4 linked regions of the Drosophila melanogaster genome follow. The protein of the gene in region 1 interacts with the protein of each later gene in a pairwise test. Each region holds a gene or a part of one and is shown in the gene's direction. Other genes may lie near its edges.

Region 1 (4,618 bases):
TCACTCGAAAAAAAAACCAATTAATTAAAAACCAGAAATTATGAAACGAAGAGCAAGAAAGCTGAAACGAAAACGCCGACCGCCTTTGAAATGTCCTTGCAGCAATAGCAATAGCGATAGCGATAGCAATCCTTAGACGACCCAAATACTGGCCATTCAGTATGGGCCACGGAAATGCAAATTCTCCAAGTCCCGGGCTCTGGTGCTCCACTTTGGTGCTCAGCGTGGGAGTTGTCCCTATTGATTTAATTCTAGCCATCCAGTGACGCAATTCCGTGGAGTTGAACGCTCGGCGGACAAATAATCCAGAGGCGAAAACCCCAAGGGGTTGTTTTCCTTTATTTTTCTTGTTTTTTTTTTTTTGTGTTTTTATTTCGACGGTTCTTGGCAGCCGAATATATGGGAATTTCTGGCAGTCAAAGGCGCCACAATGACTGCGCATAGTTTTATGTACGCTAACGGTTTTGAGTGAGTTTTCCACGTTGTCATTGGGCTGGTTTCGTTCATCTGTTTGTTGCCCCATTGCAGCTGGGTGTCATGACCTAGACAATTTTCGGTCTGCATAGATTTCTATCTGCCAGAAGGTCAATGCGGCGTATACTTAACGTGCAATGAGATAAGTCCTCATTAGCATATAATGAGTAATAAGGGTTTGTGTGGTGAGAAAGAAAGATAGAAATTTCACTACCACTCACATCTAATAATATCCAAATGAGACGACTTTGACAATGACTCAACTTCAAATGGCTGGAAAGTACGCAAAATGAAACCAAAAAAAAAACTGACCTGAAGCGCCTGAATTTGACCAGCTGGCTAATATTAGTCAACAGCTTGGCAAGTAAACAAAGCAGAGTTAGTCCCCAAATAAAACAAAATCCGCACTCTGGCTTGTTAGTTTCCCTCGTTTTCGGACACGAAACGGAAAGGGGAAAATGAAGTTGCAAGGTTGCACAATATGGGGATGATGATGTGCCAGAACATTCGTGGCAGACATTGAATCACTTATAGCTAATACCGAAATCAAAATCAAACATTGTCATCAGCAAGATATTCGCAAGCAAATATCGTTCATCTACTATGCCAACTGAGTCAACAGCATGAGGTAATGCTCCCAACTCCGGACTATTCAGGCCGGGAGCCGTCTTTGTCCATATCTCGGTACATGGTACATGGAAAAACGCTTGTGTTAACAAGTACTCTGTGCACTTGAGGCTGTCCTCTGCTCCATAGCACAATTGGCATTCATTGTCCCGCCGTTTTGACCCACTGATCGTGTTACGGGGCATTTAATCAGCATTAGCTGAAAATGAGCAGCACTTGGCCACTTCACTTGCCTGTGGGAACACCCAAGTGCTTCCTAGTCAGGCCGACGCACAAACATGGCCAATTGTGTCGGCCAATTGAGTCTTGCAGCGAAAGAAAGTGGCGAAAAGATATCGCATGAAGAGCAAACCACTCAACCACAAGTGGGTGTCTTAAGCATCGACTTGTTGTTGCGAATTGAATTCCTCAATTAATTTCGATGGCATTTCTAGGAAATCACTTGAGGGGGCGAGCACACATTTTGTCACCAGATTGCTAATTTTTATAGATCGTTAGGCTCAAAATATTAATAGCTGGTGATGAAAGAAATTTTTGATCAATGAATTTCCACACAGGAAAAGGGAACTTGAAAATAGTTCAAAACTGGCAAAATATTTGCCAGTAAAAACTATAACAAAATCATGTATTCTTTTAAAACTAAATAACAATTGATGTTTTTCTTTAAATATATATGATGCTATTAAGTTTTTTCATCATTAAAGCAAATATTGTATTTCAGACTTGCTAACTTACATTCATATTTACATTTTTTCGAAACTTTTATCACTTTTAAAAGAACCGCCAGAGTTTTGAAATCTGATAGAATTGGTGGCAATACTGGCCAGTGACTATGCAGCCCTGTACCAACGCCACTTAGTATTATTCGGTATTGCCACACCCGACGTACACGGTCACACTGAAGATGCAACAATAAATCCACGAGACAAATTTGTTAAAAACATTTTGTTAATATAGGCAGTTATTTGCGATTTTAAGCCGCGATGAACAGCAGCAATGACTTGTCGGACGAGCTAATACGCCGCCTCAGCGTTGGCGGTGCCCTGGGTAAGTGGAATGATGCCATTTCCCAATTGGGACGCACCTGTTGTTACACCGAATTATTAATTGTAAACAATTTGCAGAAGAAGTGATTGCCAGCGAAATGTTCGAGGATAGCATCGATGTGGAGACGGAGGCGGAGCCGGACGACATCATCATCGTGCACATGGACATCCGGGAGCCGCTCAGCATGCTCAAGTGAGTCTGGCGAAGACTGGCCCCCATTAGTCATGCAAATAACCCTCATTTCTACCCACAGATCACTTGTTGAGCAAAAGATAGGAGTGTGCCTGAATTACTACACGTTTTGGCTGCAGGACGCGCAGGAGGTGAGTCTATCTGCGGCGTAATAAAATGTTTACCTAAGCCCCCACTCTCCTGCAGCTGGAATCGCACAAGAATCTCGTGGACCAATGCGTCAAGGGAGAAGGCCTGGTCCAGATCAACGTGCAGATACAAACTATTCGCAAGCGCATTAACATCGCCGACGTCCTGAAGCCCACGGAGGCCGCACTGGCTGCCTTGGCCGAGGAGGTGGTGGGCCAGCTCTCGCCGCCGGAAACGGCCAGCCAGAAGAGTTCCTCCAGCGAAAGCCCCATCAAAACCCCACTCAAGCGCATGCACAAGGAAGACTCCGAAGAGGAATCCGTCGAGGGCAAGGATGTCAAGCCAGTCTTGAATTGGGTCCTGGACAGCAAGTTTAAGCGAGAACAAATACGCCTGAAGATACCCGAGGCGGCCAACGAATGGACACACGCACACGTGACGTACTGGCTGGAGTGGGCCGTCAAGCAGTTCGAACTAGTTGGCATCAACATGAGCGACTGGCAAATGAATGGCCAGGAACTCTGCGCAATGACGCACGAGGAATTCAATCAGAAGCTGCCCCGTGATCCAGGCAACATCTTCTGGACCCACCTCCAGCTGCTAAAAGAATGTAATTTCGTGTCCGTAGTGCACAAACGAGCGGAGGAGCAGCGTAAGCCCAAGCAACCAAGAATCATGTCGGCCAATTCCATATCGACCAATTCAGGGGGCAGCCTTTCGCTTGAACAGCGGATTATGCGGAAATCCTATCAGTCAGTCAAGAGCTCTGATTGTAAGTAGACGTGTGAATGTTACACCAAAGCATGAGCTAACAATATCTACTTCGTTCACAGCCGTTGAAAGTACTACGTCATCCATGAATCCATCAAACTACACTACCATCGGTTCCGGGAATAATGGACAAGTGCAGCTATGGCAGTTCCTACTCGAAATACTCACCGACTGCGAGCACACGGACGTTATTGAGTGGGTGGGCACCGAGGGAGAATTTAAGCTCACTGACCCGGATCGAGTGGCACGCCTTTGGGGCGAGAAGAAAAACAAACCCGCTATGAACTACGAAAAGCTATCAAGGGCTCTCCGCTACTATTACGATGGGGATATGATCTCCAAGGTGTCCGGCAAGCGATTCGCATACAAATTTGACTGCGATTTGAAGCTATTGATCGGCTATGATGCGAATGAGCTATCCACGCTGGTCAGCGAGGGGAAAACGGCGCCCGAGCGCGTAGCCGCAACGGAAACAATTACAGAAGACACGTGACATGGCGAGCTGAAGCTCAAGGAGGAACCCGACATACTCTGGAAGTACGAGGAGCCTTAGCGTTGGCTGACTTGGTCGGATGACGGCGCCTGGTTAATAATACAAATTGTTACATATTTTACAATCCTAAGGCACACGATTTTATTATCCATTTCGTATTCGCTAAGGTTTATAATCTCTGTCTACATAAGCTATAGCTATAAGTATCGCGTTTATACTGCTAATCATCTTAGTTATTATCTGAATAGTATTTCTATAGTGTGTATATTGAATATTGTTCGTTACATGATTGTTGCGATTTTTGTAAAATCCATAAAACTAAATTCATTTCCACGCGATTTCCATTTGCATTTGCATTAGCTCCTTCTCCTCGGCATCGTTGTGTGTTGATGGTTTTGTTTGTGATTTTACGTGACTAGTTTGCTTGCTTAACTGATCTAACTAAGCTCTAAGCGTGGGCATTTAGCGGCTCCGGCTAAACGGCCTCCCAGTTAGCTTGTCGAAGTCGATGATGGCCTGTCGGAATGTGCACGCAAATGCTCCATTCCCCCAGCTGAACTGGCGCTAGACTCGAACGGCTAGCGCCGCCAGCCGGGGTAATACTTAGTTTGCATTAAGTTTTGAGTATGAGTTTTGTGATGCGGTTACAGCTCCGTGGTGATCTCGTCCTGCGGTCGAAAGCCCAGCTTGTAGAACTCGTCCTCCAGCCACAGCGAGCTGGCGTTGAGATCAGAGATGAGATTGCCGCTCTTCAGCGTGTTGAAACTGCTGCCGAAAGGATCCGAAGCCCGCGGCTCCTCGAACTCGTGCAGGCTGATCAGCGAGCCAAACAGGTGTAGCTTCTGCTGCGCCGAGGCACTGCTGCTCCGATCGCCGGCCATCAGT
Region 2 (5,173 bases), on another chromosome or scaffold:
AGTCGCATTTATTGACGCATTAGAGTGGGCATGGCTTAAATGTTGTTGCCATATCGATCGAAAATGGATAGACAAATAATAAAATGGCCTTGCAAGTTTTGTGCAGTTTGTGGGCTTGTTAATCTTCTCAAACAAACTGACGCTACCCGTCTACTTCCCTAATTTCTCAAGTTTCAAGCGTTTTAGTGTTCATTCACACATCCCACTCCGTCCAAGCAGTCAAATCGGGTATGCACCAGATAAAAGTAGTCAAACGGACCAAATCGGACGAAGACTTTTGAAAGGGAAACACCTATCGATGATATCGAATTTTCTGAAAGCGATAATATGGATATCCGGCGACTCGGACGATTTTTTTATCCAAGCAAAGGCCACACTTTATTTTTATCGTATATGTACATACATATATAATTCGCGGTTACGAGCTTTGCGCCATTTATTGGGCAACTTACCTTCAAACTATGCACAATTGATGCCCGCTATTTACAAACTGAGTAATAACGCGAATAACACTTTTTAAAATGTAAATTTCATATTTTTTCAATAATAATTTCCATAATACCAATCATTTTAATCAGCCCATTTTTATATTTTTCATAAGAATTATGTGGATGTACTCACCTATGAACTAAGCTCTTTGAACTCTTACGCAATTTCCCTGCAAAATAAATATATCCCTCTCATTAGGATAAGGTAAAAATTTTGATTGCAAATCTATCTCGTTGATTATAAAAACTTCAAAAAATCCGAATTTCGGTTTACATTTAACTTTGCGAAATATGGATAAAAATAGTAGCCAATATTGCTATATTTTTAAGAAATTTATAAATTTTAAATTTAAGAGGAAGACCAATAGCACACCGCAGAAAAAAATGGCTGCTTTAGAGATCTTAAGCTTGCATCTCATTCTTTCATCCTTACCACCGCAAAGTAAAATGGCGGTGGAAGAAAGAGACGAAGATATATTTTAATTGCTTAAAATCTTCCTTATCAACCCAGAATACAATGGCGGCGGAAGAAAGAAATTGAAACATAAAATTATGCTCTCTATTTTGTTTTAGATCAACAATGGTCACCTAGAATATAATGGCCGCTCAAGAGCATGAAGAATATTGTTAGTCTCTTCTTTTTAACACCAGTAATGAAAAAAATCGGAAAGACTACACACATGTACTTACTATTGTTTGTACGTATCCATTTGCTATCCATCACATATTTTGCATTTTAAATTAACATTTCCCCAATATTCACTGGGAATTCTAAGCCTAGCAAACACATACACTTGCACACTCACACACATGACGAGGATGAAAGAGGAGTGGAGAAAGCAACAAGCTTCTGGCATTGCCGTTACTTCCTCTTCTTTTCATACCTCGTAAGCTTTAAAAAACTGAACAAAAATGATTGCTGCTCTCGCAAGCTGTAATTTGCACGTGCAACATTGATTTCAATTAGACCGCTGCACATTTACTTGATTACCGAGTCACAAAATTAGTTTAAGTTTGCTCATTGCGCGTTGCAAACCTCGAAACCGCGAACTGTAAAAACGATAAGATAAAGTGTGACCGTGCTTGATATCGATCAGAAACTTTCGTCATGTAGAGATTATCGATACCTATTCTTCCTTTTTGGTATATACCAATAAATTCAGCTTCGATTGCCTTATCCTTCGTATTATTACTTTGATCAAGTAATGTCTTACAGGATTTAGCTGTGATTTAAATTTAAATGTAAAAAACGGCAACGCAGAAAATGATTTAAGTTTAACATGATTTTAGACGATTGAAGAAACTAATGCTATTGATGCTATATGACGAAAGCTATTTCAAAAACAATTTTATCTGATAGGTGAGTATAAGCCCTTTTCTATGTCTGGTCACACCGCAGAGATCTAAAAACGTAAACATTCATAATTAAAGCCATTCTTAGCCTTTGCTTAATAAACTTATTGAAGTAATGCCAATTATAGGCCTTCACTCGTCCCTGAAAGTGTTCTTCTGCTAAAATGCACAGTCTCGGCGCCAGCAAAGTCGTTGCTACTCTCCGAGCGGATGGTCACGTCTACCCCATGGAGAACTCCAACCTGATGCACTACGAGATCGTAAGACTCGCGGTACCTTGCTTGTAATTCACACTAACCGAGGCGACTCCTTCATAGCGCACCGAAGGGGATGTCCAGCAAAAGAAGGGGATCCTGGTGGGTCCGGCCACATGCGTTGACCTGGGCAAACAGCTGCTCCAGTGCGCCAGAGACAGCGATGTAGCTGGGGTCAAGGCGGCGCTAGCGCATGGAGCTCCCTTCGCTTCCGACTGGCTAGGTATGTCGGCACTTCACTTTGCCGCCATGAACAATCAGCTGGAGATTTGCGAAATCCTCCTGCAGGGGGGCATTAACATGGATGGCAAGACCAAGGTAGACCGAACGCCGCTCCACCTAGCCTGCTACTACGGTCACGAGCGGATAGTCAGCTTGCTGCTAGCGCTAAAGTGCAGCGTCAACTCCCGCGACATGGTAAGAATATATAAATAAATGACTGTTTAAAATGACTAACCAACATTCCTGTCAGCTTCGCATGACCCCGCTGCACTGGGCGGTCGAGAAAAAACACAAGGGAATTGTGCGCCTGCTACTCAAGTGCCAGGCAGATGTCACCTTGGTCTCCAAATTCGGCAAGACGCCGATCGGACTTGCCGTGTACACGGAACAAGCGGATGTGCTGGCGGAGTTGGAAGCGGCACGACAGGCGCAGGCCAGTAAGAAGTTACACGAGGAATCGGAGGTGAGTGCGCTTGAAGAAATCCACTGAAGGCCATATTTACTACTTAATATGAGGTTTTACTTACGTTTCGCTTGGCTGTTCCTTATTCTTAACAATACAATTGATCGCTGCCTTTTCCCACGCTGCGCTTATCAAACTTCAGCAACAAGCACATAAGACCAAAGTATGTACTTTCGACAACTTGTATTAGGTTGTCACAAATAATAGCAAGAACATTCCCAACTTTGGCCTACATTCCTGATCCTAAAAAATTGTGACAAATACTTTATTCCCAATTGATTCGCAGAAAGAAAAATCATATCATATTTATTCCCCATCGATTTGCAGAAGGAAACCAATGAAGCTGTCAGCTCAATAATGGACGAACCGGAAGTAATTAAAACCGTGGACGACAAAGAAATGTCGGTTGAAGAACGAATGGATGTCCTAGAAAACATGCGAGGCCGTAAGTTACTAGATTCGGAGATATTAAACGAATATTTAACGAAAAACCTATTTTCCCTGCCAGATGCAAACGTCCTGCGGAACACTGCGCTTTACATACTAAAGACGCACGAAATCGCAGACATGGTGCAGGACAACGATGACGAGGACTCGAAAGAAATGCTGAACACTGCGTTGCAGAATGGACGCCAACTTGTCCTCTCTGAAGGAGGACGCATGCTGCTGCACGAAACAAAATCGGGCATCAGCGGCAAGCAATCCACGAACGGAAACGCCCGGCCTTCGGTCGCAGCGCTCCGCACAAATGTTAATAATTCTCATCCCAAGATTCGGATGAATGTCCTGAAGCAGAAGGATCTTCCGTCACCGGCGGGAGTTGCCAAGAACAAGGTATGCATTTCATTGTTTTGTTTCGCTAATTCGTATAATAATTAATATTTGAGGGCAGAATATACGCATTATCTCGTTGACTGATTTTAAGAAACTCTACGGATCGGACAGCACGGCAAAGTCCCTTCAGAAAATACCCGCCTCATTGGCAAGGTACGTTAATTTCACATATTTGGGAGATATATATAAGATCTTGCCTTATCGACAGCTCTGGAATGGTGCGGCATCTTCCCGATGGCACAAAGCTAGTCAACATGCGCCAGTTGCAGGCTCGACAGGTGAATATTAAATAGTTTCTGAGCTCACCTCCTTACTTTACTTGAACCCCGCTTAATTAGTTAAAGCTCCCCTCCCTGCAAAGGCCGCAGGATCTCACTGCGCTAGAAGAATCACACAGCCAGAACGAAGCCGCGGTCCCATCCCCACTGCCTTCAGGCCATCCCGCGTCGGGCAGTTCGCTTAGGGGACAAGTGGGCACCGTCCAGACGATACAGCTGCGACCTTCACTCTCGGCAGGATCCGGCCAAGGCGCAGTAAACAACGGGGCGGCACCTGGCAAGACAATCGTCAATGCGACGAAGCAGTCGCCGAAATCTCCGAACGTGATGCCGCTGCTAACTTCTTCTGAGATCTGTCGCCAGCTTCACGAGTTGCGGCGTCAAAACGAAGACCTGCGGCGGCGGGCCGACTCCTTTCAGCGGGAAAAGGAGGAAATGCTGAGGCGCATTGACCGCCTGGAGCAGATGGTGCTGGTTCAAGAGTCGGAGGCGGACTTGGATTTTGGAGAGGACGTTTAGTTAATGCAAAGATAAGTTTAGCGTAAGTTCGATAAGGTATATTTAGGATATTCAGCCGATAAGTGCATTTGTAAAGCACCCAGTTTAATGACGATTTCATACCATTTCTTATCGAAACCTTAATAACTTGAATGCTATGAGAGCTTTAAACCAATTCGGATGTCGATAGAAATATATCGTTTAAAAAATTCATTTTCAATCCATAATCTGCACAAGATGTAGCATTTATTTAATACATTTACATAGCTATTAAATCGCACCAGTCTTTTATATCTGTTATTTTCCCGTTTGGTCGAGGTCTTATGAGGTTTTTTCCCTTTGGGCATATGTAAGCTATCCTCTAATTTTAATCGGCAGTGTATATATGGTCGATTTAAAAGATGGTCTACTCAAAATAGTAAATATTAAAATAATAAAACGCGAGTTAATCAAATGAAAATCTAAGCGCCAATTACAATGCGGTATATTGTAGCGTTAGTCAATTTTTAAGAAATCAGTGTTGGATAATTTATGGAGTTATCGATAGTGTGGAATAGTCATCGATTTTGCACGTGTTGTTTTTATTCAAAACAAAAAAAATATGGTAAGAGGATTGTCTCTTGTTGCTTAGCTTTCAATACATACTTTGCATTGGCAGCGTAAGAAGCAGGCGGATGAAATACCAGGCTTTCCATCACTGGACAACGATGCCGGCACCAGCGACCGGGGCGCCGACATTCTCAAGTCCAAGTCCAAGAAGAACAAGAGTGGTGGATTCCAGTC
Region 3 (5,753 bases), 2.4 Mb from region 1:
CAAAGTCAGGCCGGAAAATGCAGTTTTCCCACAGTTGCCGCACGGCTCCAATCGCAACTTCTAGGGAAACTCCCTCACCACCAGAGCTGCGCTGGTGAAAACCTCATAAATTCTCACTTTTTGGCAGGCCGCACACGGCGAGGGAAATTCGAGGCGGCAGGACTCGAAGGACACAGCGCCAGGCGATGAATAGACATTCCCGAGATAATCAACGGCATTATCTTCTGATTATTATGTGTTCTTGGGGCATTTCAGGGAATTTCGTTATGATGAAACTCGCAAAAAATATCGAACTATATCCGGGATGATCGGCGGATGATGAGGATGCCGGGACACCCGGTTGAGTGGCTGAGTATCCGCTTTCCTTTCTCCTCTCTCGTTTAGTTTTTTTTTTTTTCGCAAATTCTCTGTGAGCTCATCATAATCATCATCAAACCCTCGGTCACTTGAGGTTTAAGCCAACATTAAAAAAGAGCCGAAAAAACACCCAAAGACGAAGGAAATCGCCGAAATGAACGTGAGAACACTGAATGTCCTCGTACCGAAATTTGCTTGGGCTCCTCATTGTTCGTTGAAGTGCTCGAGAGAGATTTGCTAGTTGTGTCCTTATTGTTTGCGGGCGAATGTTCATGAATGAATCAATGAATGCCTGAATGGCTAAACGGCTGAAGTTCACGTCCGCACAAAGTATCCGAGTATCTGAGGGATATTGCCGCGTTTTTAGCTGGAATCCCGGATGCAGTCGAGGCGTGAGAAGGAGGCGATCTCTGCGGCCTTGGCAACAAGTCTATTAGTCCGCCATGGTCCACTTGTTTATGGCTTACGTAACCTGGGTGGCAAAGGATGTGCAGGATCTGCACTGGCAGATGGATTCGTGAAAGGGATGCGCGCCCTGATTTCTGCGAGTTGGGTAAACATTCATCGCATCCGGTGCACCCTTGACCGATTGCGAATGCAAATCGCACATTAGAAGCCATGTGCAACTTTCCGCCCAGCAGTCAAACATTATGCAACCGAAACCGAAGGCCGCCCAGTCCATTGATGGCAAATGACAGGGAAACCCATTCGGGACACGTTTTTATGGAGGTGCGAAATGGCACATTTTTTCGACGAAACCTGCCGCGTCATTGAGTCGTCGTCCTTTTTACACCGGCTATGTGCAACCTGAACAACCTGTGCAAGCCTTGCAATTTGTCACCTGAGGCGACATTCAAACTGCCAACGCATTCCAGCTGGGTTTTTGCCTTTGGCCTACTGGTTCCTTTCATTTGGCCACGATTTGGTGGCAACAGTTTCATGAATCGCAGCCGGAATGCCGACCGTTACGAATATTCATTCATGGCACGGCAGCCACTCTGGGGACCTTAAATGGGGCTTTGACTTTGATCCTACAGTTTCATAAAATATTTATGAAATTTCCGATGAAAATATTTGTGCTCAGTTTGGCAAATCATTTCCTTGTGCGAAACGGATAAAAATTTTCCCAGGCCTCGATGAACTGAAAGTGCAATTTTCATTTATGCAATGGGAAAGGTTTGAGTAGGTTTGACTTTTAAGGATTTGGGGAAACCTCAGGGGAAAGACTTTAGATTCTGCGTAAAAATTAGGGAATTTATTTCTATGAATGGCAATTTTTAAGGGAAAACTCCCCACTTCACCACTCTTATAATAAATAGTCATTGATCAGAGTTGGCTTTGGGTTTGTCTATCAACCAAGTATATTTCAACTTGGCTTTAAAAAGCATGGATAGTTCATGGAGCTCCTTGATTTCCCTAGAACCCCTGGGAGTGACCAACACGCCATTGGACTTGCCTGGACTTGATTCGTGTCCTTCGCCAAAAAGAGCAAGGATTAGTGAATCCCAGCTGGGGGAAGCCATGCCCAGGGAACCAGCTAGTGTCTATGGGGAAAAGGCAGGTGAGAACGGCTATCGGGGACTTTAAGCTTCTCACGGACTTTGAATTATCCACAATCCTAGCAAATTTCCATTCCCTACAAGAGAAGGTGAAAACGTACCAACCTGGCACAGTGGTAGTCCAGCCACCCGAACGACGGCCTCCCGAGCCGGAACACGATCGCCTGATGTTCATTCCCGACCTAGACCAGGACATTACCCATCGGGATGTGTTCACCTATTTCAGCAAATTTGGGGATTTGGAGAGGGTCAGCGTGAGGAATGGCATGAGTAACTTTAACTACGCCATGGTGCGGTTTAGTCGCACTTCATACATGGAGCATGCCATCGAATCGAATCCACATCTGATCAAGGGATACCGATTGAACTGTCGCAAGGCGAAAGAAAAAAGTACAAATAAGGGAAGTCAGCAAAACTCTGGGACCATAAAAAAACCAAAGGCAACGATAACGCAGCCACACAAAGCTCCTGTAAGGCAGGCAGAGAAAAACGACGCCAAACAAAGTGGTCACAAATCTTTAGAGAAGAATTCGAAGCCACCAATTAACAGATCATTGCTTCTTCAAAAACTGGTAGAACCCACGTCCTATAGTCCATTTACCGCCGTAAAATCTGATCGAAACTATGCCTATGCATTAACCAATGACATTGGAATCTCCCGCTGGAGCTTTAACTTGTTGAAATTCGAACCCAGTTCAGACGAGGTGAGGGCCCTGGAAAAGGGTCTTTCCAGTTCGGCAAAGCTCCTACTGAGCATACGGAAGAAACTGGCTGCCGTGCCCCACAAGTCTGTCGAGCCACCAGCTCCAAAGTGGCCACAAACTCCTAGTGATAAAGCCGTTCCAAAAGTTACTCTTAAGATAGCTCCACCAATTCCTGCCTCTAGTCCAGTGCTCCCATCCCTGCCACAAACTCCTAGTGATAAAGCCGTTCCAAAAGTTATTTTTAAAATACCTCCACCACCTCCTGCCTCTAGTCCAGTGCTCCCATCCTTGCCGAGCCTTCTGCCGATCACTCCCCTAGTGCCTAAGCCCAAACCTGTTCTTCGAAAAGTTTCCAAGTCAGATCTCCGCTACGCCGTTCTAGCCAGTTTGGGTCAGAACTATGTCCATCACTGCTACACTAATGTGGCAGCTTATCGGCGGACCAAGAACTACGTCGACCTACAGCTCAGCGAGATGAAAGACCGACCCAGCATTTCGATGTTTGCGGATCAGATGTACGCACAGAAAGAGTAGGAATTACCAAATGCAAATCATATCTATCATATCATATATCATTCAATATAACAATAGTTAAGCAATATTTCCCAAGAAACTTCAAAGAACACTTTCATTATAAGGAAATGGCATACATTACATAAGTCGGACACTTTCTAAATTGAGGGAAGCCGAAGGATGTGACTTAGATTCCTGGAAGATATGAATGGAGCTGCTTGAATGAAACGTGAACATATTACACAAAAAGTTCCAATTCCAATTCAAAGGCACTTGAATCGCAGCAACCTGTCAACATAATTAATCCCCTGGATCAGCTGATGACGGTACTGCCCCTGACCGAATGATACACAAAATATGAACAATTCCTAGAGGGGGCGCGGGAATGCGATAAATGCGATGAAATAGGGGGCCTTGATTTCTGTAGCGCGGCCTCTGTTCTGCCCGACATTCCCAAGGATGTGCCTCCAAAAACCTGGCTTTCTTCTTGCTGGGCCGTGTTAATTGTCCAACATTGTGTGAGCGTGGACGTGAACAGGTCGGGTGCCATTAACAATCTTAACAACGATCCACAGCCACGGCCACGGCGATCCCACGGCTTGTCGCCTTGTTTCTCGAGCAGTTTTTTATGCCATTTACGAAGAAATCTTGCAACAAATCAGGAGCTCCCTTTTCCACAGTAAATACGAGTGTGCGAGAGCGACCTTTATTCGTTTGATGTTAAAAAAATTGTTCTACCTTCTCCCCCCCCCAGCACTACTTGTCTTCCTTTTTGGCCGGCCATCTCTGTGAACCTGTGACGACGCAATTCTTTGCCATTATCAGCTGCATCCTTGCAGGTCCTGCACTAGTTGCCCCCGCTCTCAATTCCGTTGCCGACCCCGATTCAATTTGGCTTTTATTGGGATCTCGGGCATCCCGATCCCGATCCCGATGCGATCCTAATTGCGGTGGCAATAGCTCGGCGTTTAATCACTTCGTACCTGCGGCTTAGACAGTCAAACCCGGCAGTCACTCATCGCGGCGGAGGCGGATATGTAGTAGAGCTGCACATATAAATGGGTATATGGTCCTGCAAATGGATCGACCTCGATGATTTTCACCAGCCAAATTGCGGCTTTGTGTTGCCTTTTCCCATTTGCCGGTGGATACATTTGGACTGGATCGTTATCTGGTTCTCTTTGTGCTTTCAAGGTTTATGGTCTAGCACACATATATTTCCTGTGAGAACAAATCCCAGTCCTGATGACCCCCGTAAACAAACCCGGTGAACATGGAACATCCCGACTAACAGCAACAACATCGGTGTCTTCCACTAAGTATTCGAATTCCCCTTCCAATTTTTGTGGGGCGATCGTGTACTCGCGGGCTGAAAAATCTACATAATGACAGGGCCACGCCGAAAACTAGTTCAGATCGCAAATTACGAACCGGTAAGGGATGGGATGAGATATACATGCATGTGTGTGTTGCAGTTCCCATTCAGGACACTCGGGACAGGACATCGAGCGCAACGGGAGACGCGGCGCGTTGAGGTTCGGCAAAGGTCATGTCAGGACTTTGCATAAAATGTTTGAAAATGTTTTCATTATGGTAAGTAGACACAAAAGTCCAACACACGAGCGATTCCCACCGAAAGGGGTGTCCTTTCCCAGCCCATCCCAGCCCGTGCGCCCAGGATCCTGGCATATATTGGTGATAAATTAGTTTAATGTTCGAAGCACCAAACTCGCAAGAAGCACACGAAAAAAAAAACACTCAACCGCAGCTGAGGCGGCAAAGTTTGGCAGGAAAATCCGACCTACCGTTTTTGGCGGCATTTTCCCGACATATACGTGTCCATCGAAATGAACTCGAGTCCTGGCAACTAATGAACTACGCAAACAATAGCTCAATGGCTACGCTTTAAGGAAAAAACGACGTAAAAATCACGTCTTGGAAATTTTCACATCGTTGATCTTAAATGGAAAATTACACTTCTCTAGCTGGACAGTGCAGGACAAACAGGATAGAATAGCGATCAGGACATGACACAATTGCAGTTTGCAGGACAATTGTTGCACTCACGCACGTGCAATGTGTTCCTGCAACTCGGTGTCTCTGGATTTCGAAGTCGAGTGCGCAGGGCCACGCCCATTGTGTGTCCCAGTGGCCGACTATATAGTACAGTGCGTTTCGTGAATGAAGCGACCAAAGTTACGAGTTACTTTGAATAGCGGCGGCGGTGGCAAGTGGATCAGATCCTGCGACAATGGCCTTTGTGTCCTTTGTCTTCCGCCTTGTTGGGGGTGTGCGGTGTTGTTGCAATTTTAGTGTAATTTTATTGTTATTAATTGTATGAAATGGGTTTTTAAATGGCCTTTGTCTAGGCCAATGAATGGCCATAGTCATAGTAAAAACGTGCCTTGTTAAAGGCATGTAATATCATAGGTTTTTTATTTTTAGCGGGACAAATAAATCTAGTAATTGTAACAAGAGTTATATTGTTTCCACACATTTCGCAGCAGTTTAGAGCACTTTCCTTTTAAACGAAAAGGAATGACTTTGTGTTACAACAACTATCATGTTATCAAAGCGGAATAATAAGTTTTTAAAGTAAATAAATAAATAAACTCAAGGC
Region 4 (4,974 bases), on another chromosome or scaffold:
TACATCACCAAGCTGAATTTCTGGAATCTGGGATGGCGCGTTTGCTACTTGGGCGCCGGTGTCCTTACCGTAATTATGGCCGCACTGACCGGAACCACTTTGCGGGAGCCGGAGCGCAAGGCCATCGGTGAGGGTGACCGCCAGACGTCTAGCGGCAAACCAGTGAGCCTGTGGCAAGTTATCAAGAATCCGGCAATGATCATGTTGATGATTGCCGCGTCCATCCGTCACTGCGGTGGCATGACCTTTGCCTACAACGCCGATCTCTACTACAACACGTACTTCCCCGACGTGGACTTGGGCTGGTGGCTCTTTGGGGTCACCATTGGCATTGGCAGCGTGGGTGTGGTCGTCGGTGGCATTGTGTCGGACAAGATTGTCGCCAAGATGGGCATTCGATCACGCGCCTTTGTATTGGCTGTTAGCCAGCTAATTGCCACACTACCAGCCTTCGGATCGGTCTACTTTGACCCGCTGTGGGCCATGATCACGCTGGGCCTGAGTTATTTCTTCGCCGAGATGTGGTTCGGTATTGTCTTTGCCATTGTTGTGGAGATTGTTCCGCTGCGCGTTCGCTCCTCGACCATTGGCGTCTTTCTGTTTGTGATGAACAACATTGGCGGCAACCTGCCCATCCTGGTGGATCCGGTGGCCAAGATCCTGGGCTATCGCGGTTCGATCATGATCTTCTACGCTGGATTCTACGGCATCAGTAAGTCGGCTTGATCTGGCCACTTTTGGATACCAATATTACTAACACCTCTGGTCACAGGTTCTATTCTCTTCTTCATCACCTGTTTCCTGCTGGAAGGCAAGCCTGATGAGGTGGGACAGCCGGAGTCGCCGAAGAGCCATCCGGATGCCGTGCTCAATGCTCGCCACATGCACGGACACGACAACTCCGTGTTCTCCGTGGACGAGACCTTGCCCTCCAACGGACGTCCTGCCCAACTTCCGCAGCATCTGCAGATGTCCAGCAATGGATACGACAAGTCCCAGATTTCTCCGCCACGACAAAATGGCGCGGAGAGCAGTAGACTATAGATTAGCTTAAGCTCCGGAGTGTTTTTTTTTTTTTATTAATTAATATTATGCAATTTTTATGTTAGGTTGTTAAGATACCTGCTTCAAATTCGGCTAACTGATAATTCGATATCTGCTTTACATCAGATATCAGTTCTTAACAAATATGCCCGAATCCGGAGCAGGTGTCCTTGCACCCAGCAATCATAGGCCTAAGCGATGGATCCCCGAGATTCCCGCAACACTGTATTTTTAGCGCGATAACTGTGTACTTAATTCGCCAGGCGATTACAAGTGTACAACTTTAATAAAGTGCTGTTTTGTTAACATAAATTGAGTTCGACACTCGCGACACTTTCAGCTAAATCAGAGGTGCTTTGAATTGTGAAATTGGCAGAAAAAGTTGAACAAAGGATAGTGCTGCCCTTATATTGAAGGAAAACAAAATTTGGATGCGGCTATAAAAAACCTTAGACCATATTCCTACACTGCCAAAAACCAAATAATAGCAGTTAAATACGAACCTTATATGCCACGCCAATCTCCCAGGTAAGACACCTCCGGATCCACCGGTTGAACCACAGACATATTAACACCCACATATCCTTCGCCACCCATCCATCTCCCTTTAAAACAGCTTTCATTTGTATATAAATAAATTTTTCACTTTCACTCTAAACCGAAATTCTATTTAAATCCTAATTATAAATATAAAAAAAATCAAGATGCTATCTTTAAAATTGTAATTAATACCAAAATTTCCGGCTTTTTACCCATAGTGCAACGTACCAGTTTCCTTCAGTATGACCATGTTGCATCTAAGCCAAAAAGTTTTGTTTGTCCATAACCATCGATAGCTATCGATAACTAACTTAATAAAATAGTTGCATGTATGACAACAACATCAAAGTACGTGGCTTAATTTCTTTCATTTCTATGCCTTATGGCCAGCTCCTTCGAGTAACATCTACAAAAAAATAAGAAAAATTTTCTCCCCGAAACGAAAAACCCTAGTTTTTCCCAACTTTCACTTACGACGAAAATCATCGCGGCGAATTGCAGACACGTAGCCTTGGCAGAGTGAGCATTTTGCTCTGCTATTCGTGTCTATCGTATTCGCCGGCAATTGCGCATTGTGAGACACGGGCATAGTTCCCTCACTTCGGCGTCAACTTTGGAAGTGTTCGGATCGGCTCGTATTTCGACACCTCCGCAGACAAGGCCAAATTGCTGAGCATCGCACAAAACTCCAGAAATAACGGAGGAAAGTAATCTAAAGTGAGTACAGTTGAATATTACTAATCAAGTGGTAGTTGTAATAACGGGAATGTGCATCAACGACGAAAACAAAAACGAATTGTAGAGGCCAGCAAAAAAGTCGTGCTCTTGTTTGTCTTTGTGTTCGTTTGAGTTTGCGTCTTATGTGGACGAGCTTTTGCGACTGTGTTTGTGTGTGTGTGTCTGCATAAGTGTTCCGCAGAACTTATCGTGTGAAGAATCCAACCGCCGTTTATATAAACATTCTTCCATAAATCATTTCTCGGACGAGAGCGGAAAGGACGTTTACAATCAATAATGGCGTATTGCGAGCTCTACTATGAAAAGTGGATTTAAGTTAATCGCGTAATGATAACTTCGTTTCTTTAAATGTTTATACACACATTACTAACGTTACTAACTTTTTTTTTTAAGTACTGTGGTGGAAGGAAACTCTTCTGACCTTATGTAGTACATAGGATTTTAACCATGACTATTATGTCCGTTTTTCTGTCCGTATGAACGACCTAAAAAGCTGAGATAGGAAACACATTCTAATGACGAAAACGCGACACAATGATTCGATACCAACGGTCAAGGTAGTGCCAAAGACAAGATGCGTAACGCTATACGATTTTTTGGCACACTATTTTTTCGCCATGGCTCTAGAGGTGGCTCCAGGCTCTCTCGATTTTTTGTTCGAGAGCGAGAGAGCGGAGAGCGCTACAGCAAACAGCTCTTTTCTACGCATACAGTGATAGTTATTATAGTGTGTTTGGTAGTGCGCACTAGCGCACTAAAGGCTGAATGCTACATTTGTGTCGCCAAAAACCGATGTTTCAAAAGTCCAAAATACAAAGTGACCCACTTTTTCTAAATCGTTGGAGGAGAGAATTCTGTAGTCAAATCCCCGACTATCAGATACCCGTTACTCAGCTAGTGTGAATGCGAACGCGAAATTTCATCATTTTTCTGGGATATCGAAAGATATTGGGGAATAAAATGAGAAAAAATTTTCCCAAAGTGACCGTATTGGCGGCTTTATGGCGTTAGAGTGGGCGTGGCCAAAAGTTGTTTGCCAAACCGATAGAAATTTACAAGTCTAATAAAATTATGAACAAATTTCGAAAAAAAGGTTCAAAAGCGTGGGCAATTTTTTGCGGTTTGTGGGCGTTAGAGTGGACGTGGCAACATGGGTCAACAAACTTGCGCTCCGTCCATGTCTCTGGAATCTGTATGTTGAATCTCAACCTACTAGCTTTTATAGTTTCTAAGATGTCGACGTTCATACGAACATACGGAAATGGCCAGATCACCTCAGCTATTAATCCTGATTAAGAATATATATATTTTATATAGTCGGAAAGGCTTCAATCTGCCTGTTACATACTTTTCAACGAATCTAGTACCCTTTTACTCTTCAAGTAACGGATATAATAAAGAAATAGAATAGCAAGGATGATCTGTATAATTTTTAGAACTTGTAAAAGGCAACGAGAGTTACTTTGTCACAAAATATGGATACCTTGCCACATACTTTATTTTTAGGAAAAAGAAAACTACTTGAGAGTATCAGATTTGGAAAATGAAAGGCACTTCTGACCTTTTTTTTTTAATAATATCTGTAAATGCACAAATAAATGCAGTGATTACTCACTATGTGCATAAAATACTTATTTAAATCAAGCTTAAAGTAAATGCTTATACGTTTTAAGCATAGCAAATGGACTTTGATAGCTGATAGATAAAAGAATCAAGCTAAGTTCCGTATTCTATCCACAAGAACACCGATTGGTTCATTCGTAAAGGAATGTAGTCGTTTTGCTGAAAAAATCCCATCGCTACTCGAGGGTTACCATTTGTTGTTGGTTTTGCGTGGACTGAGTACTTTGACCTTGTACTCTACCTACTACAATGAAACCACAAAAGTAAACATGGATATTTTATTCCTCAAATGAAAGAAATGATGATAGTGCTACAGTAATAGTTATCAAGGATAAGAACAACATGCTTCCGTCGTTGCGAACACATTTTCAGATTATGTACTAGACCTTCCTGTGCTCCAACCCTATTGATTTATATTAAAAATCAAGGTCATAATAAGGATCGCGATTGGCTTGGTTTATATCAGCTGGTGTATCAAGACTTAAATGGCACACAGTGTTTGGTATTCGCCGATCGACGAACCAGACCATGAGTCGTGTTAGAAGTATTGTTCGTAATACTGTGAAGTGGCGCCTACTAAATATGTTTTGTGTGTTGGAAGAGTTCAAACTGAAACGGTACATAAGTTTAATTATCCCATTATCCCATACAGATATATTGTGATAATGCGGGTTAAATATGATTAATGATCAACAATAATAGGGTTGGATGGTTTCAGTGTTGCTCTTCTAGGCGGTCTGTTCTGTACTCTCGATCAGCGCGTACTGCCACGTCGATTTAGAATTCTTGGCTTCCTTGGGCTTTTAGATATGCGCAAGAGTCGAGTCGCTGAAAGTTTAAATGTGTGTGTGTGTGCGTGTGGTCATCGTTTCGTAGAAAACTAGGTAGACGCTTCCCGTTTATATTATTATTGTGCTATCTGCTTCGTTCTGTAGGTACGGGATTTGTGGACGGCGTATGTATGGAATGTGCTTATGTCTCATGTTTGCTGTTTTATTTACGCTATCGATCGCAACGTCGAAAGATTGT

What was found.
Region 2: the proteins of Ets97D (region 1) and Atac3 interact in a two-hybrid assay, tested with the Drosophila melanogaster proteins (one large-scale study listed by BioGRID).
Region 3: the proteins of Ets97D (region 1) and CG14506 interact in a two-hybrid assay, tested with the Drosophila melanogaster proteins (one large-scale study listed by BioGRID).
Region 4: the proteins of Ets97D (region 1) and sov interact in a two-hybrid assay, tested with the Drosophila melanogaster proteins (one large-scale study listed by BioGRID).

What each region holds. Positions count from the first base shown.
Region 1 is NT_033777.3:26,910,227-26,914,844, reverse strand, and holds Ets97D (Ets at 97D), read left to right. Parts: upstream 1-1,958; 5' UTR 1,959-2,084; coding exon 2,085-2,148; intron 2,149-2,225; coding exon 2,226-2,340; intron 2,341-2,401; coding exon 2,402-2,471; intron 2,472-2,526; coding exon 2,527-3,241; intron 3,242-3,302; coding exon 3,303-3,733; coding exon of another isoform or gene 3,734-3,793; 3' UTR 3,794-4,070; downstream 4,071-4,618. Other genes in the region: T48 (transcript 48), read right to left, coding at 4,378-4,618.
Region 2 is NT_037436.4:324,474-329,646, reverse strand, and holds Atac3 (Ada2a-containing complex component 3), read left to right. Parts: upstream 1-1,654; 5' UTR 1,655-1,848; exon of another isoform or gene 1,849-1,969; 5' UTR 1,970-2,005; coding exon 2,006-2,101; intron 2,102-2,158; coding exon 2,159-2,512; intron 2,513-2,567; coding exon 2,568-2,780; intron 2,781-2,922; coding exon 2,923-2,943; intron 2,944-3,107; coding exon 3,108-3,225; intron 3,226-3,288; coding exon 3,289-3,614; intron 3,615-3,672; coding exon 3,673-3,767; intron 3,768-3,822; coding exon 3,823-3,892; intron 3,893-3,952; coding exon 3,953-4,411; 3' UTR 4,412-4,662; downstream 4,663-5,173. Other genes in the region: CG32344 (uncharacterized protein), read left to right, coding at 4,992-4,994, 5,049-5,173.
Region 3 is NT_033777.3:29,293,220-29,298,972, reverse strand, and holds CG14506 (uncharacterized protein), read left to right. Parts: upstream 1-1,792; 5' UTR 1,793-1,878; coding exon 1,879-1,918; intron 1,919-1,979; coding exon 1,980-3,154; 3' UTR 3,155-3,812; intron 3,813-3,887; 3' UTR 3,888-5,230; downstream 5,231-5,753.
Region 4 is NC_004354.4:6,754,400-6,759,373, forward strand, and holds the start of sov (small ovary), read left to right. Parts: upstream 1-1,922; 5' UTR 1,923-2,301; intron 2,302-4,210; exon of another isoform or gene 4,211-4,974. Other genes in the region: CG14439 (uncharacterized protein), read left to right, coding at 1-712, 773-1,044.